Macaca mulatta: one gene and its partners. The protein of the gene in region 1 interacts with the protein of each later gene in a biochemical or structural test. Links are inferred from orthologs where the notes say so. Each region holds a gene or a part of one and is shown on either strand. Other genes may lie near its edges.

Region 1 (2,743 bases):
TGTGCTGCCTCTCCCTCTGGTATGCCCCCTCATCCTGCAACGCCTGCTCCTTGCCCCGGGTCCCAACCCCACCACCCACCACCCCACCTTAGGCAGATGCCCACCCCTGCCTCACCTCCAGCCTCCTTTCCATGACCCAGCATCCATTCACTCCAGTCTCTGACTCTCGCCCAGGTCCCCCCAGCCCATTCCTCTGCTATAGGGCCAGGTGGTCCCAAGGGCCACAGTCCCGCTCACACATCCTCTCCCACCAGGCATGCCCACGTGCCGGTGCCCCACGGGCTTCACGGGCCCCAAATGCACCCAGCAGGTGTGTGCAGGCTACTGTGCCAACAACAGCACCTGCACTGTCAACCAGGGCAACCAGCCCCAGTGCCGATGCCTACCCGGCTTCCTGGGCGACCGCTGCCAGTACCGTGAGTGAGCCTTCCCTGGGCCCCAGGGCAGGCAGGAGGGTGACGGGTGATGGGGAACCCCAGAGCATGGGGTGATGTTCAACCTGTGCCTGGGACGCACAGGGTCAAGTTCAGGAAAAGAGGCCTTAAGCAGCTGAGCCAGACCCAAGCTGCTGGTGCTTCCCCACAAAGGTGCTGGCACACTTCCCCCGAGGCAGTGCACCCCCCGGCACCAAGATCATGCAAACAGAAAAGCTCTGTTCAACCTTTGGAGAGCCCTCATGAGGGTGGGGCTTGAGGCACTTCTCTCCCTCCCCAACCACAGGGCAGTGCTCTGGCTACTGTGAGAACTTTGGCACATGCCAGATGGCCGCTGATGGCTCCCGACAATGTCGCTGCACTGCCTACTTTGAGGGACTGAGGTGTGAGGTGAACAAGTGCAGCCGCTGTCTCGAAGGGGCCTGTGTGGTCAACAAGCAGAGTGGGGATGTCACCTGCAAGTGAGTGGAGCCCTCCTCCACAGTTCCACTCAGCCCAGCCCCTGCCCTGTCCTAGCCCTGCCCTGCCCCTTCCTCAGCATCCCAGACACACCTCTGCCAGCCCCAGCACCAGCCTCTGATTCCTTCCTGCAGCTGCACGGACGGCCGGGTGGCCCCCAGCTGTCTGACCTGCATCGGCCACTGCAGCAATGGCGGCTCCTGCACCATGAACAGCAAAATGATGCCTGAGTGCCAGTGAGTTGGGCCCGGGCTTCACCCAGGCATAGATTATCCCTCCCTTCCCCAGATCTGAGCAGGAAGATCGTCAGGCGTCAGCGCCCACCCCCCGCCACCGCGTTTCCCTGGCAGCAGTGGCTATGGAGGTTATGTCTACTCATCTGTGTCCCTCCTTTCTGCAGGTGCCCACCCCACATGACAGGGCCCCGGTGTGAGGAGCACGTCTTCAGCCAGCAGCAGCCAGGACGTAGGTGGCAGGGGGTGGGGCAGGCAGGGCCACCGGGACCTAGAGCAGGGGGACCGTGTGCCTCCTGCTTCCCTGAGCCTTGGTGACTCAGTGTCCCACCTCTTCCCTCCAGATATAGCCTCCATCCTAATCCCTCTGCTCTTGCTGCTGCTGGTGCTTCTGGTGGCCGGAGTGGTATTCTGGTATAAGCGGCGAGTCCAAGGGTGAGTCACAGGGAATCTGGAACATTCTGGCCATTATTTTGCCATCCTAACCTTCCCCCCAATAATCTCTGCCTCCTTATATTCCTGCCTCTCCCCAGGGCTAAGGGCTTCCAGCACCAGCGGATGACCAACGGGGCCATGAATGTGGAGATTGGGAACCCCACCTACAAGATGTACGAAGGCGGAGAGCCTGATGACGTGGGAGGCCTACTGGACGCCGACTTTGCCCTGGACCCTGACAAGGTGGGCTGGAAGGTGGGCAGGGTGGAGGGCCAAGAGGCTGTGGGTGGCCTAACCAAAGGTGTTGGGTTAGGTGAGGGACAGAGGTGGGGGTGGGGTGACCTGGGCCACAGGCCCAGCCCCTAAGCCCTACCTGAACCCTCTGTCACCCTGCAGCCCACCAACTTCACCAACCCCGTGTATGCCACACTCTACATGGGGGGCCACGGCAGTCGCCACTCCCTGGCCAGCACGGACGAGAAGCGAGAACTCCTGGGCCGGGGCCCTGAGGACGAGATAGGGGACCCCTTGGCATAGGGCCCTGCCCCGTCGCACTTCCCCCAGAAAGCCTCCTGCCCCCTGCCAGTGAAGTCCTTCAGTGAGCCCCTCCCCAGCCAGCCCTTCCCCGGCCTCGCCGGATGTATAAATGTAAAAATGAAGGAATTACGTTTTATATGTGAGCGAGCAAGCCAGCAAGCGAGCACAGTATTATTTCTCCATCCCCTCCCTGCCTGCTCCTCGGCACCCCCATGCTGCCTTCAGGGAGGCAGGCAGGGAGGGCTTGGGGCTGCACTTCCTACCCTCCCACCAGAACACACCCCACCGGGAGAGCTGGTGGTGCAGCCTCCCCCTCCCTGTATAAGACACTTTGCCAAGGCTCTCCCTTCTCGACCCTACCCCTGCTTGCCCGCTCCCACAGCTCCCGGAGGGCTAATTCTGGGGAAGGAGAGTTCTTTGCTGCCCCTGTCTGGAAGACGTGGCTCTGGGTGAGGTAGGCAGGAAAGGATGGAGTGTTTTAGTTCTTGGGGGAGGCCACCCCAAAGCCCAGCCCTGACTCCAGGGGCACCTATGAGATGGCCATGCTGAATCCCCCTCCCAGACAGGCCCTTCCCATCTCCAGGGCCCCCACTGAGGTTCCCAGGGCTGGAGACTTCCTCTGGTAAACATTCCCCCAGCCTCCCC
Region 2 (3,500 bases), on another chromosome or scaffold:
CCAAGAATTGCCCCGCAGATCCTAAGGTGCCTTCAGCCTTTTCAAACAAAAACCTCCTTCCCTCCTCTCCGTCTGCTTTATGTGTGCGCTCAGTGGCACACAACAGATGTGAGAGGGCTTGGAACAATTCCCCATTGCAGCCCTCTAGCTTAGATCAGCTCGGTACCTTTCAAGCGTTGTTTCTGATGGAATGAAACAGAAATCTTTACCTGAAGGAGCTGTGTTGTTTCAACCTTTCCTTTTCCTTTTCCTTTTCCTTCAGGTGCGCACCCTGTGGCATGACCCTCGTCACATAGGCTGGAAAGATTTCACCGCCTACAGATGGCGTCTCAGCCACAGGCCAAAGACGGGTTTCATTAGGTATGATCGTACTGATTCAATTTCACTTAAAGTCACACTAATGGACAAAAAGACAAAAAGTATGAAATAGCATTGTCACTAAACAAGACTTTTTTCCCCTGCAGAGTGGTGATGTATGAAGGGAAGAAAATCATGGCTGACTCAGGACCCATCTATGATAAAACCTATGCTGGTGGTAGACTAGGGTTGTTTGTCTTCTCTCAAGAAATGGTGTTCTTCTCCGACCTGAAATACGAATGTAGAGGTAAGAGCAACATCACCATGAATGTACACCGGACATCTCCATTGCAGACTAATACCAAGGATGACAGTTATGGGGAAGTCCATTGTAAAGACTGCTTTGGAGACAGGGTTATTTCTATCTTGCTTGTGAGGACACAAGGACAAAAATGGAATAATGCCTAGGCACTGTGGCTTATGAGTTCCCGAGTCCTTAGTTACAATATTAGTTTGCTTAGCAGTTTCTGTGCTGCTCATACACAGTGCAAAGGTAGGCTGCAGAAAAGCTCCTATACAATTTGGACTTCATTAATAATACTGTTCTTTACAATTATGTATTTATATATCTTACTGCTTGGTGTTTTATTCATGCCATCAGAGCACAAGTTAGAATTCCCAACTTTTCCCTGTATATAAAGAAGGGAGAGGAATGTTGCTTTCATATTGGCATGTTAAATTAAGGTTTACTATTAAACTTAGCTTTTTTTTGCTTCATTCTTTTTTACTCAGTGATTACTTAAGCTTGCTGAGTCCAACACTGGCTCTACCACAAAATAAGCACTTAATATATATTTACTGGGCCAAGGCCAGATACTGAAAAGATCAATCAGAGTAGAGAAAGATGGTTGATTTTACACACACACACAAAAATCTAAATTATTAATGTAATTTTTGAGTCTGAATTTTTAAAATAAGACTCCCTAAACTTTTAACATTGAAAGCCTTGGAAAGCATAATATACGTTCTGGAAGGTTCATGCCATGTTGGTCACCTAGCATCGATGTCAGCTCACAAAATTAAATGCTAATATGCTTGAACAATCTTAAATTAGGCTTTTGTCATTAGAAAAGTAGAGCTATTCCTATGTGGTTTAACTTATTAACTGATACTAAGATGTCTGTGCTTTTATGAATTAGTTTTCATTTGTATATTTATTTATATTTGTTTATTTTAACAGATCCCTAATCATCAAACTGTTGATTGAAAGACTGATGATAAACCAATGCTGGTATTGCACCTTCTGGAACTATGGGCTTGAGAAAACCTCCAGGATCACTTCTCCTTGCCTTCCTTTTTTTCTCTGCTTTCATCAGTGTGGACTCCTAGAACATGCGACCTGCCTCAAGAAAATGCAGTTTTCGAAAACAGACTCAGCGTGCAGCCTCTAATGAATAAGACATCTTCCAAGCATACAAACAATTGCTTTGGTTTCCTTTTGAAAAAGCATCTACTTGCTTCCGTTGGGAAGGTGCCATTCCACTCTGCCTGTGTCACAGAGCAGGGTGCTATTGTGAGGCCATCTCTGAGCAGTGGACTCAAAAGCATTTTCAGGCATGTCAGAGAAGGGAGGACTCACTAGACTTAGCAAACAAAACCACCCTGACATCCTCCTTCAGGAACACGGGGAGCAGAGGCCAAAGCACTAAGGGGAGGGCGCATACCTGAGACGATTGTATGAAGAAAATATGGAGGAACTGTTACATGTTCGGTACTAAGTCATTTTCAGGGGATTGAAAGACTATTGCTGGATTTCATGATGCTGACTGGTGTTAGCTGATTAACCCATGTAAATAGACACTTAAATAGAAGCAGGAAAGGGAGAGAAAGACTGGCTTCTGGACTTCCTCCCTGATCCCCACCCCTTACTTGTCACCTGCAGTGGCCAGAATTAGGGAATCCGAATCAAACCAGTGTAAGGCAGTGCTGGCTGCCATTGCCTGGTCACATTGAAATTGGTGTTTTCATTCTGGAAGTAGCTTATGCAGATGTAGCAGGAAAATAGGAAAATCTACCATCTCAGTGAGCACCAGCTGCCTCCCAAAGGAGGGGCAGCCACGCTTGTATTTTAATGGTTACAAAGGCACAAAATTATTGTCAACCTAACTAAAACATTCCTTTTCTCTTTTTTCCTGAATTATCATGGAGTTTTCTAATTCTCTCTTTTGGAGTGTAGATTTTTTTAAAATGCTTTACGATGTAAAATATTTATTTTTTACTTATTCTGGAAGATCTGGCTGAAGGATTATTCAAGGAACAGGAAGAAGCGTAAAGACTATCCATGTCATCTTTGTTGAGAGTCTTCGTGACTGTAAGATTGTAAATACAGATTATTTATTAACTCTGTTCTGCCTGGAATTTAGGCTTCATATGGAAAGTGTTTGACAGCAAGTAGTTGACATTTATCAGCAAATCTCTTGCAAGAACAGCACAAGGAAAATCAGCCTAATGAGCTGCTCTGCCCCTTGTGCCCAGAGTGGATGTTCTGGGATTCTTTTTTCTTTGTTTTATCTTTTCAAGTGGAATTAGTTGGTTATCCATTTGCAAATGTTTTAAATTGCAAAGAAAGCCATGAGGTCTTCAATCCTGTTTTACCCCATCCCTTGTGCCTATTTCCAGGGAGAAGGAAAGCATATACACTTTTTTCTTTGATTTTTCCAAAAGAGAAAAAAATGACAAAGGTGAAACTTACATACAAATATTACCTCATTTGTTGTGTGACTGAGTAAAGAATTTTTGGATCAAGCAGAAAGAGTTTAAGTGTCTAACAAACTTAAAGCTACTGTAGTACCTAAAAAGTCAATGTTGTACATAGTATAAAAACTCTGCAGAGAAGTATTCCCAATAAGGAAATAGCATTGAAATGTTAAATACAATTTCTGAAAGTTACGTGGTTTTTTTTCTATCATCTTGTATACCATTGCTTTATTTTTATAAATTATTTTCTCATTGCCATTGGAATAGAGATCTCAGATTGTGTAGATATGCTATTTAAATAATTTATCAGGAAATACTGCCTGTAGCGTTACTATTTCTATTTTTATATAATGTTTGCACACTGAATTGAAGAATTGTTGGTTTTTTTCCTTTTTTTTTTGATTTTTTTTTTTTTTTTTTTTTGCTTTTGACCTCCCCCTATTTTT
Region 3 (4,140 bases), on another chromosome or scaffold:
TCTGGAGGTAACAACCCTAAAAGCTTCATTAAATTTCCGTGGGTGAGTGTCTGAAGCTAAGAGGTAAAAAAAAAAAAAAAAAAAACAAAAAAACAAAAAACAAAAAAAAAAAAACCCAAAACAGAAAAGCACAAATCCATCGCATTAGCTTTGTTATTACACAGCTGGAAAACAGAAGTGTAGCCCCCAAAAGAGTAAGGGTAAACTTTTTAAGGAAGGGTTGCTTGCCTCTTGCTTTCCTTTTCTGCACCTGGGTCCAGCAGGGTGGTTTGTGTGCAGTGCGAATCTACACATTATCGACTTGATTTGATTCTCCAGGCTCCTCTCTCCTCCTGCGTTCAGGCCTCTGGAGACAGGTATGCCACACAACAGGGATTCCTGGAATTGAATCCAGTCTCAGGGTGGAAGAATGTTCAGAAGGACCCAATCTTTTCTGCGACTTGGTGTTTCTAGGATCTTTGTAAGCTAGGACCCTAAGCAAGGAGCAACCGACTGCGTACTCGCTGGAGCCGTCTCCCGCACAGCTTCGGATCAGAGGATTGTTTACTCCCAGTCATTCTAAGAGCCGAGTAAGGGAGTTGGGGGGAGTAAGCCGGAGTTAACCGCGGTCTGCATACTCTCAGGGGCACGGGTCTTTCCTAGGACGGAAACGTGACACATGCTAGCCTTTTCCCTCCCAACTTGCCCAACTTTGCCTGGGAAGCCTCAGTCAAAACAGGAGCCACCGAGCCTGCGCTGGCGGCTGGGAGCGAGCGCCCCCTCCTGCCAAGGGGCGTGGGGGCAACATGCCCTCACAGAGACTCCCCTCGTGGTTTCGCCCATAATGGCACTCCGTATATTTGGGTATGCGTATGTTTTCGAGGCTTGGATAAAAGGGTAGACCCTAGAGAAAAATGAGAGGGGCCAGGCGGAGCTGCGGCCAGTGGTGGTGATGGGGGAGAAAACACTGGCTACTTTGTGACAACCCCCTCCCTTACCCTCTTCACGCTGGCGAGGCTGGGGCGGGGACCCCTCGCTCTCGGCTTGTCTCTCCCGCTTCCACGCCAGGATGGAGAGAGCGCGCAGGGGCTCCAGAGGCGCGACTGCAAGCCGCGGCGCCCCCGCTCGCTCGCTCGCTCGTTCTTCCACCTCCTCGTCGCCACCGCGGCTCGGCTAAGCTCTCGGAGCGCGCTCAGGCTGCGCAGAGAGCGCCCCGGAGGGAGCTGGAGCCGCGAGGCCGGGGCGAGGAGCGCACTACCAGGCGGCGGCGGCGGCCGGGGAGCTAGTAGGTGAGCGGCGCCGCTGGGCGCCGGGCGGGTGCGGGGGCCGGCGGGGCGGGGGCCGCGGGAGGAGGCGGGTCCGCGCGGGTGGCGGTCTCCTCCCCCTACTCTGACGCGGGGCCCGTGGCTCCCGGGGAGGATGGACCCAGCTCGGCGCTCGCCCGGGCTTCCCCGGGCTGTAGAGCGCGCCTGAGTGCCGCCGCCCGCCGGGCATGGGTAGCCGCTTCCTGGGCGGCTGCGGCAGCGGAGGAGGATGCTCTGGGCTAGGCGAGGTGAGGCGCGGCGGGGGCGCGCGGCAACCCTTGAGTTCAGCGCGTCAGGTGCCCCGCGACGACGCGGCGCCGGGGAGCCAGCTTCGCTGGGGCCCCCGGCGCGGAGGAGGGCTCCTGGGACGCGCCACTCAGCAGTTTGGCTAGGGGTGGTGCGAGGATGGCGACTGCAGCAGTTTTTCGCCTTCTCCCTCCACTTGCTGGGAGGAAAGGGGTGACTTCTCTTTCTCTCTCCTGCCACCCACCCCTGCGCCCCTGTCTCCCTACTTCTGACCACGCGCGATCCTGTCTCCAGACTTGTCCACCCTTGACACGCGTCTCTCTCCAAGACCCCCTGCGCCCTCTTTCCTCCTGCGGTCTTGGCTCTGTCGGTCCTCGAGCCTGCCTTCTCCCGCTGTCCTGTGCTCCCGAAACTCCCTCCCTGCTTCTCTGGTGGCCAGACCCTCTTCCTCACTCGGCCGAACCCCGTTCTCACTTCCCTACTCCTCGGTAGCTAGGTTCGGCTTCGACCTCTCGAAAAACCGACTCTATCCCAGTAATCCCAGCCCTTTCGCGGGCACCGTGAGAACTGGATCCCGCGTTCCTCGGACCCCTGCCTTTCTTCGGATCTTCTGTGGACTCTGTTCTTTGCCGCTCGACCCCCTCCATCCACTCCCCAGCACCCCCCTGCCCACACGCCCAGTTAGTCCCCTCCCCAGCCCGCCTCTCTTCCTTCTCTCTGCTCCAGACGCTCTGACTTGGATGCAGAGAGCTCAGTTTTTTTTTTTTTCCTACCAGGGAAACTTTAAATCTCTGTGGTTCGGCTCGTAAGGCAGGCACACAAGAGGGTGTCAACCGCCGAGAGAACCCAGAGGCAGGGAGTCCGAGATGGGGGGAGGTCGTGTCGCGGCGTCTGAAAGGGGCCACTGGGTGAGTGTACAAAGTAAATTTCAAAACCAGGGTGACTGCTGCAGTCAGGACTCTGCCTCCGCTGGCTGCGTCCCGGGGAGTATTATTGTGACCCCTGGTGGGAGGGCGCATCTTTTCTCTGCACTTTTTAAGGCGCTTTTTTTCTCTGTTTTTGTTTTTTGGTGGTGCTGGTGGGCCTCATGGGGGCCAGTGGGCACAAGGGAACGCTGCCTGGAGAGGCGGACGCCACTTGGCTGCTCCCAGACCTGCCAGACTGTGTACGTTTCACTCCGTGTGAACTACCCCCAACCCCCAACTGCATCGCACAAGTCCTCATTGTTGGGGGTCTGCTGGGGCACTTCCGCTTAGGCTGGGAGAGTCTGAAGGAATGGCGTGGGGGTGGGGAGGCCGGGGGCGTTTGGCGACCGCTCGGCTCTCGGCGGCGGGCGGAGTGGAGAGCGCCGCGGCGCGGGCTTCTGTGCGCTCCGGTGTGTGTGTGTCGCGAGGCTGGGGTGCGCGCCCGCGTGGGTCGGTGTCTGCGTGTGCGTTTGGATGTCGGCGCACGCCTATGTTTAACTCCGTTAGAAAGAGGGGCGAGTGTAGAGCTTGCGGTAGCGAGAGCGCCTTTCTCCGCCTGGGAGCTGGACGGGGGCGAGCCCGCCTGCGAGCTGGATGCTCCAGTGCAGCTCCTAGCCAGCCAACAGGGACCGGGGGTGAGAATCCGCGCCGTCGTTTCCACCTCCTTCCTGCTCCCCTCCTGCTGGCCAGTTAAATACACTTTCAGTGTTGATAGTTTTGAATAAAGGCCGTGTGGAGATTCCACTACACTTTACAACACTTAACGTTTTCAAGTAATCATATAAATTAAAGGTGGCTTACGTTTTAGAACCCCCTAATTATCCAGTTCACGTTGGTACATTTATGTGCCAATTATAGGTCTTTGGGAAATCCATAAAATTATAAACCATCCCCACCCCTTGAATTAGCACCCATTGTTTTTGTGATCTCTGTGATGAGTGATTCTGGATGGCACCGGAACTGCGCAGGCACGAAGATAGATGGGGGTTCGGAGATGTCAGAAGGAGTAGGGCCCCCCGCCACCCCCGTCTCTTTCACTCCCTATCCTGACAAGGCTTGGTGACAATTCTGGGAACCTAAAGTGATCAAATATTTTCTTGATTTCCTATTGAGAAGGGCGACCTAATCAAAGCTGTATAAAAGTCAACTTCTAAGCAATCAGAAATTGTCTGCTGATGTCCTTGATTGAAACCCCAGCATTCAAATGGAGTATTGAAGAACTCGCAGAAAGGTCTTTTGAAGCGCTATTGTTCTTTTCCGTACACAGAGTCTCTCTTAAAGGTTTAGGAAGTTCAAAATGCAGTGGTTTGAAAGGACTGACTTTGTAACTATTTGGCAACGCTGGGAGGATCCGCAGGGATGAGAAAAGAGGCCGAGGTGGGAAGTGCAAATATGTTGTGACCATCTTCTTGGGAACGGTGCTGCTATCAAGTAGGAATTCGGTTCTACCCATCGAGTTGGCAATTAAGTCTCTTCTAAAGCAGATTTAGAAGATGATTTTTAGTAGTTTTTATTTTTTAGTGGTTTGCTTAAGGTCTGAATAGGCATATCTGAAACGTTTAATCATGTTCATTGTAGTCAACGATAAAATCTGAATAAAAATTACTTATTGTTGATGAAGCTCATCTCACAAGCTGTTTCACAGT
Region 4 (3,500 bases), on another chromosome or scaffold:
TGCCCAGGTTGGTCCTGAACTCTTGGGCTTAAGCAATCTGACCATTTTAGCCTTCCAATATGCTGGGTTACAGGTGTGAGCCACTGCACCCAGCTGTAAACATTTATAAATAAAAGTATTTGCTTCAGAATAACCTACGCTGGGCCTAGGAATGGAAGACAGCATGTAGGTAGCAAGATTAGTTATGTATTGATAATTGGTAAAACTGGGTCATGGGTAAATCAGGCTCATTATTCTTTTCTCTCTACTTTTGTATATGTTTGAAAATGTCCAGAATGAGTTTTTCGAACGGGGATGGTGTGCAGCCCTAGGCTCATTTGAACTGCATGTTCTCTACAAAGATTGCACAGTTTGGGGTATGGGTATGGTGTTCGCTGCCTGGTGAAGATGGGGATCTTTCCTAATCTTTCTTAGACCCCCATCTACAGAACTCCAGGGTTGTGACTATAGCCCATTATCTCCATCCTTTGTTCCTCAGCTTTTCCTGTATTCTCTACATGACATTAGAAAATGTGGAGACTCAGCTGATTTAAATGGGACATATTTAATTATTAAGCCCTGGAATCCTAGTATCTACTCTCCTCCCCCTACCCAAAGCGTTTTCTTTTCTAACTTTTAGTCAATATCCTACTCCTGACAGCAGCTCCCCACAGACGTGACCTGTTAAAACGGGGCAGACTGTCCCAAGTGCACCTAAGTGCACTGTGCTCTGTGCTGTGGTGGCAGTGTAACACAGGGCCAAGAGCTCAGACCTGGACTCAGACCTGGTCTAGATCTCAGCTCTATTGTAATCTCAGCCTGTCTGTGGTCTTGAGAAAGCTACTAAACCTCTCTGGGTCTCTTTTTTGTTATCTGTAATATGGGGATAATCATAGTATTTACCTCACAGCTTTACTGTGAGGATAAAGCCTGAAAATGCTGAGTAGAGGGCCAGTTACCTAGTCAGTGCCCAGTAAACAAACTAGTCCACTTACCAACCATGGTGGCATGCATAATGAACAGATCTATCCATCCAGGCATGCATGATGGTCAGATCTACCAGAATGTCCAAGCACTCTCTGAACGAGAAAGCCTGGACATGGCCTGCTGTGGCCTCAGGACATGGGCTTTCAGCTCACATCAGGCTGGCACTGGCCTCTATATGAGAGGCCTAACCTCTGCCCTCACACCCTCCCACATGCCCATGTCAAGCTCCACAAGGTACCTGTGTCCTCTGGGGAGCCATAGGAGGGGCTGCCCTGGGATAAGGTAGCCCAGCTTGAGTCCTCGTCACTGGCTGCACTGTTCCGCATGCCAAACAGCAGGCTGGCACTCTTGCTGTGTTCCCGGGGGCCATCTGTAAGGGCTTGGGGCCTGGGAGGGGCCTCCACACTCTCCAGGGTCTCAGGCAGCCCTGGGGGAGAAGATAAGTCCTCCTCCTCCTCTTCATCATCATCCTCCTCCTCCTCCTCCTCAGCCTCCCCTGCCGCCTTCTCCTCTCCCTCATCTGGCCCCTGCTCTTGAGTGCTGATGATCAGGCCAGGTCCTCGTAGGCCTCGGTTGGCCGCGTTGTGGGCTGAGAGCTCCAGCTCAGAGTACAGGTGTATCAGGCCTTTGGGGCCCAAGGGTGCCATCTCAGGCTCCTGGCTGGCCTCCTCCGCCAAGGTCAAGGTCACATTGCGGTTCTGGTCACGGTGGGCCGTGGCGGCCCGCCGGAGTTGGTTCTGGCCCTCTTTTAGCCACTTGGCATTGGCAGGGCCTGGTTCAGGCCCACCACCCTCCCCCATGGCGCTACGCAGGTCCTTGGGTCCCACAGCTGTGGCCTGCAGCTTGGCGTTGAGTAGCTGGTTATGGGCAGCGTGCAGAGGCAGGGGTAGGCTCAGTGTGGGGCCTCCGTGGCTGTTGGCATTAATGGCCGACTGGCTCAGTGATGATGGAACAGACATGGCCTTGGCAGCTCCTGTGGGGTGGGGAAGGGAGATGCTGTTGAGCCTCTGGTCCAGAACAGCAGCATCACTGCTTCTGCCCCAGGGCTACGCCCTGTGCCTCCTCATCTCCCTGCACTAAGCAGGCTAGCACCCATGGCTCTCTATCCTATGAGAATGACTGGGCTCATCTTCTGTCCCAGCACTATCGTCCCCATCACAGGCCAGGCCCAGGTCTGAGGCTCAACCCATCCCTATATCCCCTGCCCTGAGCTTTCTGGGATGGCACAGCTGGTGCCTGCTCCGCCCTCGATCCCACCAGCAGGGCCTCCACACAATGGCTCTCTGTGCCTCCCCACCCCCCAGCTCATCCACCCGGGGCTTACTGTGCCAGGAACACCACTAGAGTGGGACTGGCTCGTGTGTTTTGGACACTGATCACTGACTGCCCCTCTCCTGCTGCACTTCCATCCCAAGCCCCACCACTGTAAGCTCCTCCGGCTGTGTTCCTATTCCCATAAGTCACTCAGCTCAACCAGCCCCCAAGCCCACCCCATACTAGGGACTGTGAGGACAGGAGGAAATAAGCTGCAGAACCAGCCCTACAGGGCATGGCACAGGAAGGCAGGTCACAGAGGGAGGGTGCTCGGTTGCAATTCACGGCTCCGCTGGCCAGATGAAGCTACATCTTGGTGACAATTTCCATGAAGTAGCTCCCCTTGGGCACCGGTCCCTCTGCCAGCCCTTATAATGCCCTGTCCTGGATCACTATGGGAGCCTTTCCCCTGGGCCCTTCAGCCTTTCAGATCTTTGCTTTTTGGGGTTTTTGTTTGTTTGTTTTTGTTTTTGAGATGGAGTCTTGCTTTTGTCACCCAGGCTGGAGTGCAATGGCAGGATCTCAGCTCACTGCAACCTCTGCCTCCCGGGTTCAAGTGATTCTCCTGCCTCAGCCTCCTGAGTAGCTGTGATTACAGGTGCCGACCACAACGCCCAGCTAATTTGGTATTTTCAGTAGAGATGGGGTTTCACCATGTTGGTCAGGCTGATCTCAAACTCTGACCTCATGATCTGCCCACCTCGGCCTCCCAAAGTGCTGGGATTACACGCGTGCACCACTGCGCCCGGCCCAGCCTTTCAGATCTTTGACCAAATGTCACAGCCTCAGTGAAGCCTTCCCTGAACACCCATTTTAAAACCACAGGCTACCTCAGTCCCTCCTCAGCAATCCCTAACTCTTCCCCAGCGCCTGTCACCATCTGACAAGCCAATTTGTTATTTACTTTGTCTAATGATTGTCTCCTCAAGACTACAATTTATAATCTCCGTGTTGGTGAGGATTTTGCCTTTTTGGTTAAATACAGTATGCCTAGTGCCTAGTGTAGTCTTGGCACAGAGCAGGACCTCTATTAATATTTGTTGAATGAATGTATGAATCAGTCCCCATTTCCTCCAGGCTTCGCTTTGGCCTCTCCTCTGCCAGTGTCAGAAAACACTTTGGTTATGTTACTGAGCCTCATGGTGCCCCACACAAACTCCACCTGCCTTTCAGGGAAGTGGACGCCCTGTTCTACAAGGCCAGCTCCCCTCCCGACACCT
Region 5 (3,500 bases), on another chromosome or scaffold:
AGACAGTGAAAGTTGCAAGTTCACAGGGAATTTTCGACTTTCATACTTCTTATATTTATGTGTATGTTTATGAAGCTGTAATAAGCCTCCAAGGTGGAGGTTGATTTCCTTGTTTGTCACATCATTCTCTTATATTGAAAGTGTCTAACACTTCTAGGTGCTTCTAGAAACATATACATGCCCCTTGCCTTACAATATATTTTTCCTAAGTCAAAAATACTGTAAGTTGAAATGCACTTAATTCCCCCAAAACCCATCATAATGTCCAAAAGTTTTAAGTCAAACCATCATATATATATACACATGCTTCTCAACTTACAGTGGGGTTATGGCCCAATCGTAATTTTTTTTTTTTTTGTATTTCTAGAAACCACTTCTTAAGAGGTTAATTGTTAAATGAATTGTATTTTATCATTGATATTATGTATAATTGAGGATTCTGCCCCTACTAACACTCTTTTACATCAAATGAACCATAGAAATAATCAGCAATGCCATAAGAATGACTTCCTTGTATGTTTTTAGGACAATTGAAAATAGTAACATTATGCTGTAAGTTCTATAATGTGCACAAAAATAATGAGAATATCCTAGGTAGGTCCCAATGTCCATAAAGTATGCAAAGGGCCCTTAAAAATAAATCATAAGCTGGACATGGCGGCTCACAGCTGTAATCCCAGAACTTTGGGAGGCTGGAGGCAGGAGGATCACTTGAGGCCAGGAGTTTGAGACCAGCCTGGGCAATATTGCAAGTCCCCTGTTTTTACAAAAAACAAAAACATTAGCCAGGTATGGGGGTGTGTTCCAGATACTTGAGAGTCTATGGCAGGAGGATCGCTTGAGCCTAGAAGTTCAAGGCCACACTGAACTCTGATTGTGTCACTGCACCCCAACTTGGGCAATAGAACAAGACTCTGTCTCAAAAAAAAAAAAAAGAAAAAGAAAAAAGAAAAAATCATAAATTTAACACAAGCTAACATTATTAAAGTAAAACATTAAGCCAACATTATGTTCTGAAAATTTTGGAAGATTTATACTAATTAACATCTCCTTCCATTCCAATAACATCTACAATCCTTCCATTGGCTTTGCAATTGCATTCAAGGTATGACAACTTGTGGCCAGATAGCATTTTATGATGCCATTATTGAGGTCAGTGGAGTTTTCCTGTCTAAATCTCACCTTTTTCTCTTGCTACTGTAAGTGCACTGCTCAGTGTAGTCTACAATATAGTAAATAAAAGATAAAATGTCTGTTTGCCTGGCTATAAGGTGGTCTTGCTGAACATTGCAGAATTCTTCAGAAACATAATTTGGCCAAATGTGTATTTGAAAACTACATACTTTGGAGCTACTGGGTAGGACTTTGGGTCAATAAGGGTTAAGGATAAGAGTCACATTTAATTCACTTCTAAATAATATTTACCTCCAAGGCCTCTCTCTGCAATCACGCGAATAGCTTCTCCAATGTTACATCCTGGCTGAAAAGTACCTCCATTCGGGTAAATGTCAACATGCCCAACTGGTTTCTGGATTCCAATGCTTCGGCCAGGGGACCCTCTGGTGAATGTGTGTAAGACGTCTACAAAATCTGCATCATCAGGAGAAAGGCGACTCGGGGCCTCTGCATACTCAAAGTTAGGTCCAGCTGGATCAAGGCCTTAAAAGGGAAAAAACAGGTCCACAAATTTGTAAATTTCCATTCGTGTGATATTCGTATGTCACTGATCATCATTTGAATGCACTGGCAGCTATTTAGATTCTTATCTCCTGTAGTCACTGGATCTTTACTTAGACATAAAAGGAGGCTTGGCTCTTTCTACAATGAATTTGAGTCTCTTAGCCTTATACAGCAATTTTCACTCAGGATGGCTGGATTTCCTTTTGTAGATTATTTTGAATATGTTGAGAAGATGTATAAACAGCGGTGGGTTCTTTCTCTCTGTGTGTAAGCCACACCTTTGCCTAGATGCCTGTCTTCTTTCTAAGTGTCCTCTGGGATTGGTCCTTTTTCTTTTCCCCTCGTACTGATGTGCATTACACTACGAAAACACAGAGCTGAGAGTGGAGGGAAACAGGCTTCCCAGAGAAATCTGCAGGCATTGTGTGTAATTCTGCTTTATTTCTGTGCTGTTGCCAGTGGATAGTAAGCCCGTCAGAGCATCTGTAATTTTTCTTATCCCTAATAAAGAGCCCTACAATGAGGTAATGAAGTGCTGGGCATGTCTCCTGGAAGAACACCACACACGTGGAAGAACACGTGGGTATTTAACAAAATTCGTTCTGATTCTCAGAATGACAGTCTTCTCAACTCTTACAAGACCAGTGAAACTTCTTTCTTACCAGTAATTCTGTTGACTTTCTTATTGGTCAGACTTCCTGCAATGCCAGCAGCATGGGCTCCGAGGCTGTATCCCAAGAGATGGACATTGTCCAGAGGGTAGTTAAACTCCTCCTTTGGAAGAGAAAAAGAAAACAAAGGTTCTTATAATTCCGCCAAAAAACAAAACTAAAAGAAACAAAATAAATATAAGTATTGCTTTCAAAATATAGGAAATACTGAAAACTAATTCTACTTATTTTAATTTTGTGTTACGGGTAAGAGAGAGAAAATATTCTCTATTGTTAAAATTTTCTCTTTTTCTTTTGTTTCACTGTTCCATAAACAAATCCAGTATAGATTTTCTTTTCCTTTAATAACAGATTGAAATGACAGTTTTTCCATGCATCTGAAATAGTATTATTATGTATATAATATATGCATATGTTTGTATATGTCTTTGCATATATAACCATATACTATATGTACAAGCATATACATATATATGTATATATGTATATGTGTATATGCATATATGCATGCATATATATATGTATATGTGTATATGTTTGTACATATAGTATATGGGTATATATTTTCCCATTATTCCTTACTCTAAATACCTGTATCACTTTATCACTGAAGGTTAGCCAAGCAATGACAGACTCAGGAAACATTACAGTGGAAGGGATCAGAGACACATGGTCCAACCCCTCCTTTAACAGGTGAGAAGCCTGAGCCCCAGGGAGGTGATCCCGTTTGCCCATGTTCATTTGCCTGGTCAGCAAAAAAGATAAGAAAAGAACTTTTATCGTTTATGGTCAGTCTAATAAATACAGCTTATTTTTTACTTCCAATTACCTGGTTAAAATAATTTGCCTCGGTCAGAGTATTAGCTTCTTTCCAACCCCAAGATACTTTTCAGAGGTACTTTTCAGGGGATCATCTGAAAAAGTGAGTCTCTTGCAGCTAAGTCAGAACTCCAGACCTCAGTTCCCTTCTATCCTATGCACCTTCCCTTCCAACATCTTCCTAGCTCAATTCCATCACTCTCCCAATGTTCAACAAAAAGATTCATCCTATGTCACACTAAAGAATAAGTACTATTAGTATTTTCATGAAAGAGATTGGTATGTCAAGGCGAGGATAAGATGTCCATGGGCCAGCCAACTGGTGGGGAA
Region 6 (4,204 bases), on another chromosome or scaffold:
AGCAAACAGGCCCGGCCTGGCACTGGGGGTTCCTTCCCGGGACCAGGAGTCCAGCCTCCCCTGACTCGCAGAATCCTCTGATCCCACCCACTCCAGTTCTCGATGTGTGACTTTGCCATTCATCTCGCTGCTGAACCACGGGTTTCTCCTCTGAAACATCTGGGATTTATAACAGGGCTGTTAGGAAAAAGACAGCATCTGAGCGCTCACTGCGGCCTGTCCATTGCTAGCCCTAACAGGACCACTGTGCCAAGGCTGTCCTCCGTGCTCCATACACGTTAGCTTGTCACCAAACATATCCGTGTCACTGCTTTCCCAGTCTGATGAGCAAAGGAACCCGATGCTCAGAGAGGACAAGTCATTTGCCCAAGGTCACACAGCTGGCAACTGGCAGAGTCAGGATTCAAGCCCTGGCAGTTTGACTCCAGAATCCTAACCTTAACCCAGAAGCACAGCTTCAAGACCCTGGAAACCACAATGCCTGTGGCAGCCAGGGGGAGGTGCTGGAATCTCATTTTACACGTGGGGAGGGGTGGGTCCCCTGTGCTCAAGGTCACAACCAAAGAGGAAGCTATGATTAAAACCCAGGTCCCACTCGCAAAGCCTAGACTTTTAGCAGATGCACCACACTGTTCCCACCCCCCTCCCATCCCACTTCTGTCCAGTCGCCTAGCACCACTTTCTTTTCTTTTTTCTTTTTCTTTTTTTGTTTTTCTTTTTAGAAAGCATCACTCTTGCTCAGGCTGGAGTGCAGTGGCGAGACTTCGGCTCACTGTAACTTCCACCTCCCGGGTTCAAGTGATTCTCCTGCCTCAGCCTCCCAAGTAGCTAGGATTACATGCGCCCGCCACCACGCCTGGCTAATTTTTGTATTTTTAGTAGTGATGGGGTTTCACCATGTTGGCCAGGCCGGTCTCAAACTCCTGACCTTAAGTGTTCCGCCCACCGTGGCCTCCCAAAGTGCTGGGATTACAGGCGTGAGCTACCGCGCCCAGCCCCTCCCATCCCACTTCTGTCCAGCCCCCTATCCCTACTTTCTTTCTGGGATCCAGGAGTCCAGATCCCCAGCCCCCTCTCCAGATTGCATTCATCCAGGCACAGGAAAGGACAGGGTCAGGGAAGGAGGACTCTGGGCGGCAGCCTGCACATTCCCCTTCGACGCTTGGCCCCCAGAATGGAGGAGGGTGTCTGGATTACTGGGCGAGGTGTCCTCACTTCCTGGGGACTGTGGGGGGTGGTCAAAAGGCCTCTATGCCCCACCTCCTCCCTCTGCCCTGCTGTGCCTGGGGCAGGGGGAGAACAGCCCACCTCGTGACTGGGGGCTGGCCCAGCCCGCCCTATCCCTGGAGGAGGGGGCGGGACAGGGGGAGCCCTATAATTGGACAAGTCTGGGATCCTTGAGTCCTACTCAGCCCCAGCGGAGGTGAAGGACGTTCTTCCCCAGGAGCCGGTGAGAAGCGCAGTCGGGGGCACGGGGATGAGCTCAGGGGCCTCTAGAAAGATGTAGCTGGGACCTCGGGAAGCCCTGGCCTCCAGGTAGTCTCAGGAGAGCTACTCGAGGTCGGGCTTGGGGATAGGAGGAGCGGGGGTGAGGCCAGCAGCAGGGGACTGGACCTGGTAAGGGCTGGGCAGCAGAGACGACCCGACCCGCTAGAAGGTGGGGTGGGCAGAGCATGTGGACTAGGAGCTAAGCCACAGCAGGACCCCCACGAGTTGTCACTGTCATTTATCGAGCACCTACTGGGTGTCCCCAGTGTCCTCAGATCTCCATAACAGGGAAGCCAGGGGCAGCGACACGGTAGCTAGCCGTCGATTGGAGAACTTTAAAATGAGGACTGAATTAGCTCATAAATGGAAAACGGCGCTTAAATGTGAGGTTAGAGCTTAGAATGTGAAGGGAGAATGAGGAATGCGAGACTGGGACTGAGATGGAACCGGCGGTGGGGAGGGGGAGGGGGTGTGGAATTTGAACCCCGGGAGAGAAAGATGGAATTTTGACTATGGAGGCCGACCTGGGGATGGGGAAATAAGAGAAGACCAGGAGGGAGTTAAATAGGGAATGGGTTGGGGGCGGCTTGGTAACTGTTTGTGCTAGGATTAGGCTGTTGCAGATAATGGAACTAGGCTTGGAAGGCTAACCTGGGGTGGGGCCGGGTTGGGGTCGGGCTGGGAGTGGGAGGAGTCCTTACTGGCGGTTGATTGACTGTTTCTCCCTCCCCAGACTGGCCAATCACAGGCAGGAAGATGAAGGTTCTGTGGGCTGCGTTGCTGGTCACATTCCTGGCAGGTATGGGGGCGGGGCTTGCTCGGTTTCCCTGCTCCTCCCCCTCTCATCCTCACCTCAACCTCCTGGCCCCATTCAGGCAGACCTCGGGCCCCCTCTTCTTCTGCTGGTCTGTCTTCCCCTTGAGGGGAAAGCCCAGGTCTGAGGCTTCTATGCTGCTTTCTGGCTCAGAACAGCGATTTGACGCTCTGTGAGCCTCGGTTTCCTGCCCCCGCTTTTTTTTTTTTTTTTTTTTTTTTTGAGCCAGAGTCTCACTCTGTCGCCCCGGCTGGAGTGCAGTGGCACAATCTCAGCTCACTGCAAGCTCCGCCTCCCGGGTTCACGCTATTCTCCCGCCTCAGCCTCCCGAGTAGCTGGGACTACAGGCGCCCGCCACCATGCCCGGCTAATTTTTTGTACTTTGAGTAGAGAAGGGGTTTCACTGTATTATCCAGGATGGTCTCTATCTCCTGACCTCGTGATCTGCCCGCCTTGGCCTCCCAAAGTGCTGGAATTACAGGCGTGAGCCACCGCGCCCGGCCTCCCCATCCTTAATATAGGAGTTAGAAGTTTTTGTTTTTGTTTTGTTTTGAGATGAAGTCCCTCTGTCGCCCAGGCTGGAGTGCGGTGGCTCCCAGGCTGCAGTTCAGTGGCAGGATCTCAGCTCACTGCAAGCTCCCCCTCCCAGGTTCATGCCATTCTCCTGCCTCAGCCTCCGGAGTAGCTGGGACTACAGGAACATGCCACCACACCTGACTAACTTTTTTTGTATTTTTAGTAGAGACGGGGTTTCACCATGTTGGCCAGGCTGGTCTGGAACTCCTGACCTCAGGTGATCTGCCTGCTTCAACCTCCCAAAGTGCTGGGATTACAGGCATGGGCCACCGCGCCCAGCTGGGAGTTAAGAGGCTTCTAATGCATTGCATTAGAATACCAGACACGGGACAGCTGTGATCTTTATTCTCCATCACCCCACACAGCCCTGCCTGGGACACACAAGGACACTCAATACATGCTTTTCCGCTAGGCACGGTGGCTCACCCCTGTAATCCCAGCATTTTGGGAGGCCAAGGTGGGAGGATCACTTGAGCCCAGGAGTTCAACACCAGACTCGGCAACATAGTGAGACTCTGTCTCTACTAAAAATACAAAAATTAGCCAGGCCTGGTGCCACACACCTGTGGTCCCAGCTACTCAGGAGGCTGAGGCAGGAGGATTGCTTGAGCCCAGAAGGTCAAGGTTGCAGTGAACCATGTTCAGGCCACTGCAATCCAGCCTGGGTGACAGAGCAAGACCCTGTCTGTAAATAAATAACGCTTTTCAAGTGATTAAACAGACTCCCCCCTCACCCTGCCCACCATGGCTCCAAAGCAGCATTTGTGGAGCACCTTCTGTGTGCCCCTAGGTACTAGGTGCCTGGACGGGGTCAGAAGGAACCTGAACCACCTTCAACTTGTTCCACACAGGATGCCAGGCCAAGGTGGAGCAACCGGTGGAGCCAGAGACGGAACCCGAGCTTCGCCAGCAGGCTGAGGGGCAGAGCGGCCAGCCCTGGGAGCTGGCACTGGGTCGCTTTTGGGATTACCTGCGCTGGGTGCAGACACTGTCTGAGCAGGTGCAGGAGGAGCTGCTCAGCCCCCAGGTCACCCAGGAACTGACGTGAGTGTCCCCATCCCGGCCCTTGACCCTTCTGGTGGGCGGCTATACCTCCCCAGGTCCAGGTTTCATTCTGCCCCTGCCACTAAGTCTTGGGAGTCCTGGGTCTCTGCTGGTTCTAGCTTCCTCTTCCCATTTCTGACTCCTGGCTTTAGCTCTCTGGAATTCTCTCTCTCAGTTCTGTTTCTCCCTCTTCCCTTCTGACTCAGCCTCTCACACTCGTCCTGGCTCTGTCTCTGTCCTTCACTAGCTCTTTTATATAGAGACAGAGAGATGGGGTCTCAC
Region 7 (4,004 bases), on another chromosome or scaffold:
AAAAAGAAGAAAAAGAAAAACAAACAAAAAAGAAAGAAAGAAAGAAAGAAAGAAAGAAAGAAAGAAAGAAAGAAAGAAAGAAAGAAAGAAAAGCCTTAGATGGTAATGGTGGCTTCAAGTGACACTACCAAGGTATGAAAGGAAAATAAATCTCAAGACCCCCAAATCACTACGCCAAAGGGAAAAGCCAAGCTGGGAACTGCATGAGGCAAACCTGCCTCCCATTTTATTCCTACATAAGACAGCTACAAAGATAAAAAGCTACATACCTCCCTCACAATTTACCCACAAGGAAACTCCTTGTGGACTTCAAGATCTGTACGCTAAAACAGTTCTGCTGAACTTCACCTTGGCAATGCAAATGGGTGCAGGACAAAGGACAGAACTCAAAGTCATCCCTCTGCTCACCTGAGACAAACACATATCTGATTGCTTCCTCTGCCCTATTGTTTTTGTAAAAATGAAGATTCAGGCCAGGCATGGTGGCTCATGCCTGTAATCCCAGCACTTCAGGAGGCCGAGGTGGGTGGATCACCTGAGGTCAGGAGTTCAAGACCAGTCTGGCCAACATGGTGAAACCCTGTCTCTACTAAAAACACAAAAATTAGCCGGGTGTGGTGGCAGGCGCCTGTAATCCCAGCTACTCAGGAGGCTGAGGCAGGAGAATCACTTAAACCTGGGAAGTGGAGGTTGCACTAGCCAGGATTACGCCATTGCACTCTAGCCTGGGCAAGAAGAGTGAAACTCCGTCTCGGGAAAAAAAAAAAGTAGATTCACTGAGCCAACTAAGGCATAAGTGACTCTTCCTCTGCCCCCCCTCACATGTAAATTGTGTATTCAATGAAAGGCTGACAAAGACGCAGAAGAATGATATCTTTTCTTCTCTACCTATGACCTGGAAGCTCCTACTTCCAGTTGTCCTGCCTTTCCAGACCGAACCGGTGCACACTTTACATGCATTGATTGATGTCTCATGTCTCCCTGAAATGTATGAAACCAAGCCACACCTTGGCCACCTTGGATACACGTCCTCAGGACCTCTGGAGGCTGTGTCACAGGTGTGTTCTTAACACTGGCAAAATAAACTTTCTAAATTGACAGACCTGTCTCAGTTACTTTTGGGTTGACAAAGGAATGCCTGGGCTGTTTGTTGAAATCCTTTGAAATCTACTGGCCACTGACTCTGCTCGGCAATGTCAGGCCCTGGGGGAAATCAAAGCCTCAGTGAACTCAAAAACCAACAAAGGGGAACTGCTATTCCCAGCTACTCCCTGGCTGCCTGGACTGTCCCAGGTCTGTGATGAAGCAGGGGGAGCCACAGACACTGGGAGAATCCGATGCAAGCCATCGTGAAATAAACCGAGCTGGTCTTGGGGAGTTGGGCAGAGAAGGAGCACTTTGGAGACAGGGCAGCTTTCATTTGCTCCTGAGATTTTGATCTTGGGCTTTATCATTTGATCCAGAGCTTGGAGGCTGGTGTCTTTGAGAACATTTTAGGTGGAATAAATGGGTGGGCAGGATGGAGCTATTCATATCTCAATACTCACGGTGTCCCTGCCAGTGCTGGAGTCCGACTCTGCCTGCACAGGAAGCACGCACCCAGCAGCTCAAGCTGACCGTCGTGGATTGATTCTAGATCCCAGAATGAGTGTTCTTGCCACAGCAAGTACTACTGCTAGGAAGTCACCTTTGAGGGAACTCCACCTGACAATGGTATTTGCAGGACCGCTTCCTGGGATTGCAATGCACACACATACACACACACACGACATTTTTTCTGTCATCAAGGAGCTACAGGAGACCACCATATTATTCCCAATTGGCCGCCAAATGCATCCTTGTTACCACACTTCTTTGAGCTTGAGTTTGTCATTAGTTACCTGGGACCTCGGCATGTTTTCCTCTTCCCTCCCTCCCTTCCTCTCTCCCTCCCTGTGAGGTTAAGAAAATAAAGATAATAACAGTGAAAATCTAGAGAACCCCACATGCTTTCTGCAGAGTGCTTTAGGAATAAAAGACATTGATGTTAGTTTTTTCCCCTGTAATTAAAATGTCCTTTAAGGAGGACTGCACGCTTGACTGATGCACCCTGGGCAAAAAGCCAGAGGGCCAAACTGACCTGTGGAGACTTGTGGGGGTGGCACCTAGGGAGGAGATCAGAGGCATTTCTCTACCCCACGGGGTAATGTGGGGCGCGAAAGCCACCTGCTTCCCTCTCCCAGCACCTAGCGAATAGTGCTCTGGAAGTAAGGCCCCTCTGCTCCATCCACAGCCTCAGTTCCTTCCTGGGGGTTCATCGGGGGAGGGAGGAAACTGGGGGACCCCAGAGGGCCCTCCCAGCTGTCACAGCCACGTGTCCCAAGGCAGCCGATTTTCCTTTTATTGCCTGCTCATCTTGAGGTGCTCCCACAGCCTATTTGGGGCATTTCTGTATCGTTCTTTTCACCTTCCCCCTTACTCTGCCAGCAGAGGCTCCTCCAATGAATGCAAACTCCCTAGTCTCCCTTCCCCTGACTCCCTCTCACCTCCAAAACACTCCAGCCTATCCCAATCACATGCAAATGCAAACAGACATCTCCCCTCCGGAGTGGATTCTAGCGGATCCTCTAGTTGCCTGAATTACAAAGTTGGTCCGTTGGTTAAAGCATTCCTTCACTGGCTCAGCTTGCTGGAAAGACTTTTAAGAGACAGAAGAGGAGACAGACCCCAACACAGAAACCTGACCTACCGCGGCTTGCTCCTTGCCTTTCCTCGCAGAGGTTTTCTCTCTAGCCCTGGACTCCTGTAGGATCTCAGCTTTGAGCTCCCTGAACAGCTCCAGCCTCCTTTAAGTTTCCAGGCAGGGGGTGGGGTCGGTGGCCCCGGCTGGGCGGGTTTCTGTGTGGCGGGAGGATGCTCAGTGGACAGGGCCATGAGGGAGCTGGGGCGGGCCTGTTTTTATAAAGCAGGGGGAGGAAGTTCACGGTGGAAGCAGCACAGCCCATCCTGGCTTCGGGCCAGGCAGATTATTCACAGCCCTGATGTCATCGAATCACAGGAATTTGGAAGTGGGACGGGATCTTAAGATTCATCTTCCTTTAGAGTCTTAGTGTCCAAGACTTAAAAGGGACTTTCAGGACCCTGTGATGACAAGAAGTGTTTATAATTCTAAAGGCACCAGGCTGGGGCTGGGAGTGGGGTGTCTTCTGGAATCTGTGGCTGTAGCTCTGGCCTCTCAGGACATGAGAGGTTAAGATTGGAACACTTTGTGTGGTGGCGGGAGCTTAGGGGGCTAGCCACTGAGAAGGCAGGACTAGCCTCTGGCTCACCTGCGGTGGGAGGTGCCCCCATGGGGATTTGCTCCAGTAGGCATCTCAGGCCCAGCTCTGTAATTTTAGGGAGAATCTCTCTCTTCCTTGTAAAGTGCAGGGCTGCAGTAGGTGGCCTCTGGGGAGTTTCTGACGCCAGCATCCCCTCGAGTGGGCCCAGGGAATATACACAGGGCCTTGGGGCCAACATGCCTGAAATTCGATCAAAGCCATCAGCCCTTAAGCCCACAGAAGCCTTTCAGTGTTTGCTTGTAAAATGCCCCTGGAAATAGACAAGCCATTTCCCTTGCTGACACCTTTTCAGATGACTAAGAAATAAAAGCCCTGTGGTGTAGGGGAAAGTCTTAGGTTTAAATCTGGCTGTGCCAGTAACTGGGGTATGACCTCAGTCAAGGTTTTCAACTATGCTGAGCTCTGGCTTTTGCATCTGCAGGTCACGTGAGGATCAGAGAGAAGCCATGCATGTCAGGTCCCTGGCACATCATGGGGCTCAGCAGGAGCATCTATCATCATTGGTTCATGTCTGGCTGAGACCAGACCTTTTAAAAATTAGAGAGAGGTGAAAGAAAGAATGCAGGGAGGGAAGAGAAGTTTGGCAGAGGAAATTGCGGGATGACCGACTATCCAGGAGAGGCCAGATTTCATACATTCTGATCCTAAATATACTCATATGTGTCAAACCATGAGTGCTGAGTT

Evidence for each region.
Region 2: the proteins of LRP1 (region 1) and THBS1 form a complex in vitro, tested with the Homo sapiens proteins (3 studies listed by BioGRID). The link is inferred for Macaca mulatta from reciprocal best matches to the Homo sapiens genes LRP1 and THBS1.
Region 3: the proteins of LRP1 (region 1) and DAB1 form a complex in vitro, tested with the Homo sapiens proteins (2 studies listed by BioGRID). The link is inferred for Macaca mulatta from reciprocal best matches to the Homo sapiens genes LRP1 and DAB1.
Region 4: the proteins of LRP1 (region 1) and APBB1 form a complex in vitro, tested with the Homo sapiens proteins (2 studies listed by BioGRID and IntAct, with this or other methods). The link is inferred for Macaca mulatta from reciprocal best matches to the Homo sapiens genes LRP1 and APBB1.
Region 5: the proteins of LRP1 (region 1) and LPL form a complex in vitro, tested with the Homo sapiens proteins (3 studies listed by BioGRID). The link is inferred for Macaca mulatta from reciprocal best matches to the Homo sapiens genes LRP1 and LPL.
Region 6: the proteins of LRP1 (region 1) and APOE form a complex in vitro, tested with the Homo sapiens proteins (2 studies listed by IntAct, with this or other methods). The link is inferred for Macaca mulatta from reciprocal best matches to the Homo sapiens genes LRP1 and APOE.
Region 7: the proteins of LRP1 (region 1) and PLAT form a complex in vitro, tested with the Homo sapiens proteins (2 studies listed by BioGRID). The link is inferred for Macaca mulatta from reciprocal best matches to the Homo sapiens genes LRP1 and PLAT.

The regions. Positions count from the first base shown.
Region 1 is NC_133416.1:64,370,455-64,373,197, forward strand, and holds the end of LRP1 (prolow-density lipoprotein receptor-related protein 1), read left to right. Parts: coding exon 1-19; intron 20-254; coding exon 255-416; intron 417-720; coding exon 721-895; intron 896-1,027; coding exon 1,028-1,129; intron 1,130-1,293; coding exon 1,294-1,358; intron 1,359-1,470; coding exon 1,471-1,561; intron 1,562-1,659; coding exon 1,660-1,804; intron 1,805-1,957; coding exon 1,958-2,098; 3' UTR 2,099-2,243; downstream 2,244-2,743. UniProt on the Homo sapiens protein: Endocytic receptor involved in endocytosis and in phagocytosis of apoptotic cells. Required for early embryonic development. Involved in cellular lipid homeostasis.
Region 2 is NC_133412.1:16,894,129-16,897,628, forward strand, and holds part of THBS1 (thrombospondin-1), read left to right. Parts: intron 1-262; coding exon 263-360; intron 361-464; coding exon 465-604; intron 605-1,537; coding exon 1,538-1,545; 3' UTR 1,546-3,500. UniProt on the Homo sapiens protein: Adhesive glycoprotein that mediates cell-to-cell and cell-to-matrix interactions.
Region 3 is NC_133406.1:183,204,722-183,208,861, forward strand, and holds the start of DAB1 (disabled homolog 1), read left to right. Parts: upstream 1-1,340; 5' UTR 1,341-1,531; intron 1,532-1,905; exon of another isoform or gene 1,906-2,437; intron 2,438-4,140. UniProt on the Homo sapiens protein: Signaling adapter of the reelin-mediated signaling pathway, which regulates the migration and differentiation of postmitotic neurons during brain development.
Region 4 is NC_133419.1:59,372,656-59,376,155, reverse strand, and holds part of APBB1 (amyloid beta precursor protein binding family B member 1), read right to left. Parts: intron 1,940-3,500; 5' UTR 1,926-1,939; coding exon 1,205-1,925; intron 1-1,204. UniProt on the Homo sapiens protein: Transcription coregulator that can have both coactivator and corepressor functions. Adapter protein that forms a transcriptionally active complex with the gamma-secretase-derived amyloid precursor protein (APP) intracellular domain.
Region 5 is NC_133413.1:21,588,916-21,592,415, reverse strand, and holds part of LPL (lipoprotein lipase), read right to left. Parts: intron 2,455-3,500; coding exon 2,343-2,454; intron 1,660-2,342; coding exon 1,426-1,659; intron 1-1,425. UniProt on the Homo sapiens protein: Key enzyme in triglyceride metabolism.
Region 6 is NC_133424.1:57,410,730-57,414,933, forward strand, and holds the start of APOE (apolipoprotein E), read left to right. Parts: upstream 1-1,404; 5' UTR 1,405-1,657; intron 1,658-2,221; 5' UTR 2,222-2,244; coding exon 2,245-2,287; intron 2,288-3,729; coding exon 3,730-3,922; intron 3,923-4,204. UniProt on the Homo sapiens protein: APOE is an apolipoprotein, a protein associating with lipid particles, that mainly functions in lipoprotein-mediated lipid transport between organs via the plasma and interstitial fluids.
Region 7 is NC_133413.1:44,285,477-44,289,480, forward strand, and holds the start of PLAT (tissue-type plasminogen activator), read right to left. Parts: upstream 2,801-4,004; 5' UTR 2,729-2,800; intron 1,744-2,728; exon of another isoform or gene 1,548-1,743; intron 1-1,547. UniProt on the Homo sapiens protein: Converts the abundant, but inactive, zymogen plasminogen to plasmin by hydrolyzing a single Arg-Val bond in plasminogen.